Linked DNA regions of Sus scrofa. The protein of the gene in region 1 interacts with the protein of each later gene in a biochemical or structural test. Links are inferred from orthologs where the notes say so. Each region holds a gene or a part of one and is shown in the gene's direction. Other genes may lie near its edges. The genes, in order: RAD51AP1 and DMC1.

What was found.
Region 2: the proteins of RAD51AP1 (region 1) and DMC1 form a complex in vitro, tested with the Homo sapiens proteins (2 studies listed by BioGRID and IntAct). The link is inferred for Sus scrofa from reciprocal best matches to the Homo sapiens genes RAD51AP1 and DMC1.

Annotation. Positions count from the first base shown.
Region 1 is NC_010447.5:65,876,490-65,880,306, reverse strand, and holds part of RAD51AP1 (RAD51-associated protein 1), read left to right. Parts: intron 1-2,487; coding exon 2,488-2,637; intron 2,638-3,817. UniProt on the Homo sapiens protein: Structure-specific DNA-binding protein involved in DNA repair by promoting RAD51-mediated homologous recombination.
Region 2 is NC_010447.5:9,429,820-9,434,290, forward strand, and holds the start of DMC1 (meiotic recombination protein DMC1/LIM15 homolog), read left to right. Parts: upstream 1-1,416; 5' UTR 1,417-1,555; intron 1,556-3,238; 5' UTR 3,239-3,239; coding exon 3,240-3,290; intron 3,291-3,881; coding exon 3,882-3,926; intron 3,927-4,471. UniProt on the Homo sapiens protein: Participates in meiotic recombination, specifically in homologous strand assimilation, which is required for the resolution of meiotic double-strand breaks.

The DNA of each region.
Region 1 (3,817 bases):
ATTTATTATTTCACAGTTCTGTAGGTCACAGATTCAAAATGCCTCTCACTGGGCTAAAATCAAGCATTGGCAGAACTGTGTTCCTTTGTGGAGGCTTGAGGGGAGAATCCCCTTTCTAGCCTTGAGGCTGCCTGCTTGCCTTGACTGGTGGCCCACTTCCCTCTTCAAAGCCATCACATCACTCTTGTTCTCTGCTTCTCACTTTCACTTACAAGGACCCGTGTGAGTACACTGGGCCCTTCGCACAATTCAGGTTACTTCCCCATCTCGAGTCTCCCCCCCGCCTTTTTTCTTTGTCTTTTTGCCATTTCTTGGGCCGCTCCCACGGCATATGGAGGTTCCCAGGCTAGGGGTCGAATCGGAGCTGCAGCCGTCAGCCTACGCCACAGCCACAGCAACTCAGGATCCGAGCCTCGTCTGCACCCTACACCACAGCTCACTGCAACACCGGATCCCCAATCCACTGAGCAAGGCCAGGGATCGAACCTACAACCTCATGGTTCCTAGTCGGATATGTCAACCACTGAGCCACGACGGGAACTCCTCGAGTCTCTTAATGTAATCCCACTTAAGTCCCTTTGCTGTATAAGATAACATGTGCACACGTTCTGGGGAGTTAGGAGATAAATATCTTTAAGGAGCCGCCTATATAGACTGATAGGAGAAGGTCATTGACGATATGAAAAAACCTAACATGAATATATTTTATGTTTTCTTTAGATTTTTGTTTATGCCTTCTCACCAAGACACTCTAAAAGCTAAAAATAAATTCGCTTTCCAAGTTGCCATTTACCACTTAAATATTTCTTTATCCTGGAGCAAGTTGCTTCACAAGAAAGTTTACCATGTGATATTAGAAGTAAAATTTAACAGCCAAATAATGAAATTAAGAATTCGGAAAGATGGATTATATTTCTAGTCCCAGTAATAACATATTGAGTAACCTTTGAGTGTCTTCAATCTGGTACATGTTATAATTTTTTCCTTGATAGAGGAAATTTCAAGAGCTGTGGTGTCCATTATGGTGGCCACCAGCCACAAGTAACTTTATCACATTTAAGTTAATTAAAAATAAAATTTAAAAGCCAGTTCCTTGGTTTTACTAGCCACGTTTCAGGTGCTCACTAACTATATGTGGCAGGTGGCCTCCACATTGGACAGCACGAAATACAGAGTCTTCCCATCATTGCAGAAAAGCCTGTTGGACGGATGGTGCTGATCAGGGGGTGTAGTTACTAACATTAAGACGGGTATACAGGAGTTCCAGTCGTGGCGCAGTGGTTAACAAATCCGACTAGGAACCATGAGGTTGCGTGTTCGATCCCTGGCATTGCTCAGTGGGTTAAGGATCCGGCATTGCCGTGAGCTGTGGTGTTGGTTGCAGACGAGGCTCAGATCTCAAGTTGCTGTGGCTGTGGCGTAGGCCGGCGGCTACAGCTCCAATTAGACCCCTAGCCTGGTAACCTCCAAATGCCGCAGGAGCAGCCCTAGAAAAGACAAAAAGACAAAAAAAAAAAAGACGGGTATGCAGTGAAAATTCACATGCCTATGGATAATGCCCTTAGGTATAATAGGCCTTCAGGTAAATAAGATGCTCCTTAGGTATCTCAAAGCAAGCATTAACTAAAAGTGATTTTTTTTCCTACCTCCCTACCTCCCTCCATCAAAAACAAGCAAAAAACCAGAAAACTCAAACCTACTCCCATTCTGTGTTCATTCTCTGGGTAGATGGCGCCATCAAGCAGTGTTCCAGCGGCAGGAACTTGCAAGTCCTGGTTATTTCCTCCCCTCCAGCACTGCCCTCCCCTCTGATTACTAAGAGATGTCCAATCTGCTGGTTTTCCTTCCTCTTAGCGCAGGCCCTTTCCTCTTCTCACCGGGATAGCCATAAAGCCATCCAGGTGGTGTGCTTTACCCCACCATCGGCAAGATGCTTCTACGCATACAGCTCCTGAGCCCACGTCTAAAGTCTCATCTCTCTTACCACATTGCACTGTACACTTCACTTCTGTGCCCTTTCTACTACTAGAGTCTAGTGACTGGACCATGAGTTCCTTGGGAGCAGGATACTCTAACCTAGAGTGAGACACTATTGTGTAACAGTTACAAGTGTGGACTCAGAGTCAGACCTGGTTTCCAGTCCCGGCTTGGACACTTCCTAGCTATTAACTACAGGCAGATTATTTAACCTCTGTGTTTCCTTAACTGACAGTAGAGATGGTAATTTCTGTATCGTGGTTGCTCTAAGGTTAAAGGTAATGTTTATGATGTGCTTAGCATACTTCCTAGCATAGAAGTGCTCATAAAAAAGGGCTGTTCTTAGGTTCTCAATAAATGTTTGATGATTAATGATAATTATAATTGATTTTTCACATTTATGATACTTTTTTGTTTGTATAAGATTCTGTCATTTTATAATTTTCACACAACATCCTAAACTTTATCTTTCCTCTCTAACACTTTTTCTATGTGTATTTTTCAAATAAGTGACTTCAGTACACTCTGCTCCATCTGCCGTCAAGTCAGAATCTCAGCCCTTGCCAAAAAAGGTTTCTGTTTCTTCAGAGGCCACTGAGAAGCCATTACAAATATGCAGTCCTTCGGCTGAAAGCAGGAGACCTAAGTGGGTCCCACCAGGTACGGTGTATTTATTGATTGCTCAAGGGCAGGGGCTTCAAAAACTGGTAGGATTTTTTTTCCTAGTTGTAAATGTCACATATGAGCATTTCCTCATATTATTATGTAGTCTTCAAACCAAGGTTCTTAGTTGCTGTATTCATTCATCACTTATTATTCCCTCATATTTGAACATCCAGGTTATTTTTTCGTTGTTATAAATAAAGTTACAGTAAGCACAAACATCCTTATTTTTATTTTATTTATTTATTTTTGTTGTCTTTTTAGTGCTGTACCCACAGCATATGGAGGTTCCCAGGCTAGGGGTCTAATCGCAGCCACAGCTACCAGCCTACACCAGAGCCACAGCAACGCTGGATCTGAGCTGCATCTGCAACCTACACCACAGATCATGGCAATGCTGGATCCTTAACCCACTGGGCGAGGCCAGGGATCAAACTCGCAACCTCATGGTTCCTAGTTGGATTTGTTTCCGTTTCGCCATGACAGGAACTCCAACGTCCTTATTTTAGACCTCTGTGGGCACATCCCTTATTTTCCTACGATAAATTCCTAGAAGTAGAATTATAGTGAATGAGTACCAGTGTTTACGGCTCCTGTTATAGGAGTTCCCATTGTAGCTCAGCAGGTTAAGGACCCAACATTGTCTCTGTGAGGGTGTCAGTTAAGGATCCGGAATTGCTGCAAGCTGTGGTGAAGGTCACAGATGCAGCTCCATGGATCCCACGTTGCCATGGCTGTGGTGTAGGCCTCAGCTGCAGCTCTGATTCAACCCCAGGAATTTCCATACGCCATAGGTGTGGCCCTAAAAAGAAGAGGATGAGTCCTGTTATATATTTTTGTCAAGAAATCTCTTTGCCCAAGACCCACTGACTTCCAAAGTCTGACAGAATCCTTGGGAATCCCTGCATGTGGCAAACTTGACCTTCAGCTCTTACACATTTGGCTTCTCTCTGTTTTCTTTTGCTCCACAGCCAGGTCTCGCTAATCCTTCTCCCGTCTTGCCTTCCCTAAAACCCTACCCCAGGCCTGCTCCTTGCATCCCCTGCTAACTAGTCCTTGACCATTTCCCCTTGTCCAGCCACATGAACCCTCTGCAGTGGAATCGATGCACTTTCTGTGCCTTTGGCACTATGCGTTCTTCCTCCCTCTGGGGTGTCTTTCTTCACTCGTCACGGTC
Region 2 (4,471 bases), about 56 Mb from region 1:
TTTCAGTTTCTTTAAGTGTACTGCACACAACCTTCAAATATTATGAACATTTCTCTCTCCCAGCTGTCACTACACCAAACTACATATGTTATATTTCCCTAAATCATCTTGTTGTGCTCTTTGCAGCTCTTCCGTACAGTTGATGTCTCCATCTAACAAGTTGCTCAGAAGTTACTATAATTATTTTAGGTGAGGCCCAAAGTGAAAGCCTACCATCGACTATACAGTTCATCTCAAAAATTGACATTAATTTCTATTTAAGCAAGACCAGGCTGTGTTTCTGGAAAATAACAGATTTTGAAGAACTATGGCAGTTATTTGTTGGGTCTTTAAACAATCCACGTGGGGGGCAGAGGAAATGTCCTACAAAATGCCAACTGCTATTGTGGGAATTTTTGGCTATTTATTCCAGCAAAATATGATTCAGACACTGAATGAAAAGGGTCACCCTGTACTAGGTCTTGAACCCAAAGAACTGTTTGCACAGATAGTCATCCAAGATACATCACAGCCTCCACCTCAACAGATGCTCTTTCAAATGTTTCATGACTCTCTTCAACAGTCAGTCTCCATTTAAGGGGAGGAGGGTTGATGCTGCCAGAGACGGCTCTGCTGGCATGAAGGCTGGCCTAAAATTTCTATTTAAAAGCTGGACCAAAATATGTTTGGCTTCTGTTGTCTATTTAAAATTTCAAGTTAAAAGGAAGAAAAATTACTCTCCGTCCTGAATGGGCTTTGGGTGTCTCACTCACAGACTAGAGAATGGCAAACGGTAAGAGAGTCACGGAGAAGGGAGAGAAATTAGGAACGCTGAGATATTAGGAACAAACTATGAAGGCAGACATGAAAAACTTGGAATGAAAAGAAAAGCCTTAAGCAGGGGGAAAAGACCCCCATATTCGGCTCCTAACGGAGGATCTGGATTAAGGTAAGCATTCTGCACGTCATGAGTCACCACATCAGCCACCTCCCCTCAGCACCCCTCCCCCGCCTCACGGTCGTCCACCTCTTGCCCCCTTTCCAGCGGCCTCTCTTCATCTCAGAACACGCGCCACCCAAGGGCCTCCTTTCTCAGAGGATCCTGTCTTCACCTCAGCGTCCACCTCAGGAGCCCCCAATTTTGACCCATGTCCTGGGTGCCCCCACCTCAGAGTCCTCTCTTGACCTCAGCATCTCCCTCCGCTCTGGAGACGCCCCAGCCTCCCTTCCCACCAAAGCCCCTCTCCTCAGCACACACTCTCCCCCTCAGCGCCCCCTTCCTCATCCCAGCGCGCGACACGCCCCGGAGAGTCCGTTCGCCGCTCCCAGTACCTTCGCCTCCCCCGGACGCTCCTGCCGCCCCGCCCCCCGTCCTCTGCCCCGCCCAGATCCCCGCCCCTCCGTCCTGGCCCCGCCCACGCCAGGCGCGCGCCCAAACTAGTCGTTGGGCACCGAACCTCTTGGTCAACGGGGCTGCGAGGCGCCGCGTTCTGCTTCGGAGTCAGAATCCCTGAGGACTGGAAGGCCCGGGACGGGGGCGGAAGGGATTCATTCACCTTGAAAAGGGAGATTGTGGGTACGAGTCGGGTTTGTGGCAAAAGGGGAAGGTGGGTGAAGAATCTGAGGGGAAACTCAGGGGGTCCCTTCTTTAGTCATGCTTGGTGGTGGTTGGAGGCTCCACTTTGTGCGTCCCGCCCCCACCCCTGGGGGTATATCTCAGTGCCCTTGAGTGATTACCAGCATCCTTATTTTAAACCAAGTAGGACCTAAGTTGGGGAGGGGCCTCCTCAGACTCCTTATGAGGGAGTTAGGTGTTGGAAAAACGGGTGGCGGCAGGGGAGGCGACCTGGACCGCGCTTCCACGCCCGAAGCCGAGGCGACTGGGAGCCCTACTCTAGATCCAACTGCTCTCAACGTCCATTGCTATTTGAGAAAGATGAAGAGCAGCTTTTTTCAAGGCTAAAGAAAGGACAGTCAATGTGGAATTTGGGGGCAATCATATATATACATATATATAAGCAATCTGAGTGAGGGGCCGTATTCCAGAAAATTCCATTTACACCGTCTCCTCTTTTGCCTCGAATACTTTGCTGTTCAGAGGTACTAGGTGGTAACGACCATACCTCAACCTTAGTAATTTGTTCCCCTTCTGCTGGGCCCCAACCCCTGACTTCCGCGTTTTGTGAGAAAATGGAATAGACCAAGAAAAGTGATTACTTGGACTACGTTTTCTAATAAACAGGATCATGCTTTTTAGATTCCTGAGATCTTAAAACCGCTGCTCCAGTGTTAACTCAAAGATTGTTCATCTGCTTATTGGCCCTAATATTTTATCATATTATGATACTGAGTATTCACCATAATTTAAATCTTTACAAAAATCATGAAAGTAGTAAATACTATAGAACAAAATACATCCATTGTTTTATGAAAGAAAAATACACATGTTGCAAGAGAGCTCATTCATAATTCTCAAGCAGGAAGAGATGAAAAAATATCTATCTGTTGAAGAGAGACTAAGTTCTAGGTGCCGGGGAAGATATAGGAAGACTGACTTAAGGCCAAAGGTTTTTTTTTTGTTTGTTTGTTTGTTTTCTTTTTAGGGCCAAACCTGTGGCATAGATAAGTGCCCAGGCTAAAGGTCAAATTGGAGCTACAGCTGCCAGCCTATGCCACAACCACAGCAATGCCAGATCCTAGCCATGTCTGAGACCTACCTCGTAGCAACATTGGATCTTTAACCCACTGGGCAAGGCCGGGGATCGAACCCAAATCCTTATGGCTACTAGTTGGTTTTTTCACCCACCGAGCCACAACAGGAGATCCAGGCTAAAGTTCTTAGAGTGTTGTTAACATGAACATGAAAGAATAAAAATACGGAGTTCTAATATTCTAATTCTAATATTTCTACTGCCAATAACATTCCAAGACAACAAAGAGATATTATCAGTTATAATTGTGCTGTGGGAAATCAAAAGATGATACAAAGTGGCCAATTTTGAGGAAAGAGGAGAGAAACAATGTCCCTCCACCCTCACATATGCACACCCATTAAAAGAAATAATACCAGATGCCTAGCAGAAAGGATATAGGCTAGCCAGTCATTTCAAACTAAATGTTTTTCTATTTGTCCTTCTGGTCCTTAATAACTGAATTGAAATCAAGAAAGTCTATGGGCAAAGGGTTTTGTACTATGACTACTTCTTAATATTTTTTTATTTTCCCAAAATTGATTATTTTTTTGCTGTTCTCCTTTCAGTATGAAGGAGGATCAAGTTGTGCTGGAAGAACCAGGATTCCAAGATGAAGAAGTATGGCTAGAATGTTGAAAGACATGTAGACATTTAGTCATTCTACAAAAATGAAGTTCCTTCTCTGTTAACTACTATTTTTAGAAACAGATTAGCAATAAAACATAGTTCTGGAGAGAGGCAATATTACAAATATGTAACAACTTGTTTGGCAAGGGGTGCTAAGATTAGCTACTTAGCAGCTGGTGTGAAAGTATTTTAATAATTTAGCAATTGGTATGGCCATACTGGTTCCTATGCAAACTGGTAGTGAGGAGTAGAAGGAGTTCAAGGTCTGGTGGGGAAGACTGAGAAAACATATTTTAAAATAGATTAAATGTTGTTCCACTCTTTTGGGTTAAGGTCTTAAAAATTTGGAGAGGGCATAATAAAAGTATTGAGCTTCCCAGTGCTTTCAGTGTTAGCACTTCTATGTATGCAACAATGTGTTTGAAAAATCATTATTGAGCCTACCTCAGTCTGTCTAGAGAAGTGGAATTTGAAGCATCTTGGAGTGACTCATAATTCTGAATTAACTCTTAAAAATATTTGTGAAACGGTTGAATATGAAGAATAAAAACTTTTTTTTTTTCCCTGTTCCATCTTCGTTAGGAATCTTTGTTTCAAGACATCGACCTGTTACAAAAACATGGGATTGTAAGTATTTCTTCAGTGCTGTGTGAAATTGTCCATTTTAGGGTTTCTCAGCCTTGACTCTATTGGCATTTGGGACTTGACAGTTCTTTGTTGTGGGGGGGCTGCCTTGTGCATTGTAGGGTGTTTAGCACTCTGGCTCCTAACCACTCATGATATGCTAGTAGCAGCCTCATAGTTGTGACAACCCAAAAATTCTCCAAACATTGTCATGTCCCCAGGGAACAAAATTGTCCCCCGTTGAGAACTAGTGGTCCACTTGGAGGTGTTCAGAGCTATCAACTGTTTCCATCAACAAAAAATTCACCTTCTGTCATGTGATTAGATAAAAGAAATTCAGACTTTAAGTAAAAAACTTGATGAATTTCAGTAGCAATCAGTTGACAGAAAAACTTCTCGGATGTTACCTTTTTTTGACCACACCCTCAGCATGTGGGAGTTCCTAGGGCAGGCATCAAATCCATCACACAGCATTGACCCAAGCTGCTGAAGTGACAAGGCCAGGTCCTTAACCCAGTGCACCACGGGGGAACTCCTCTGATGTTACC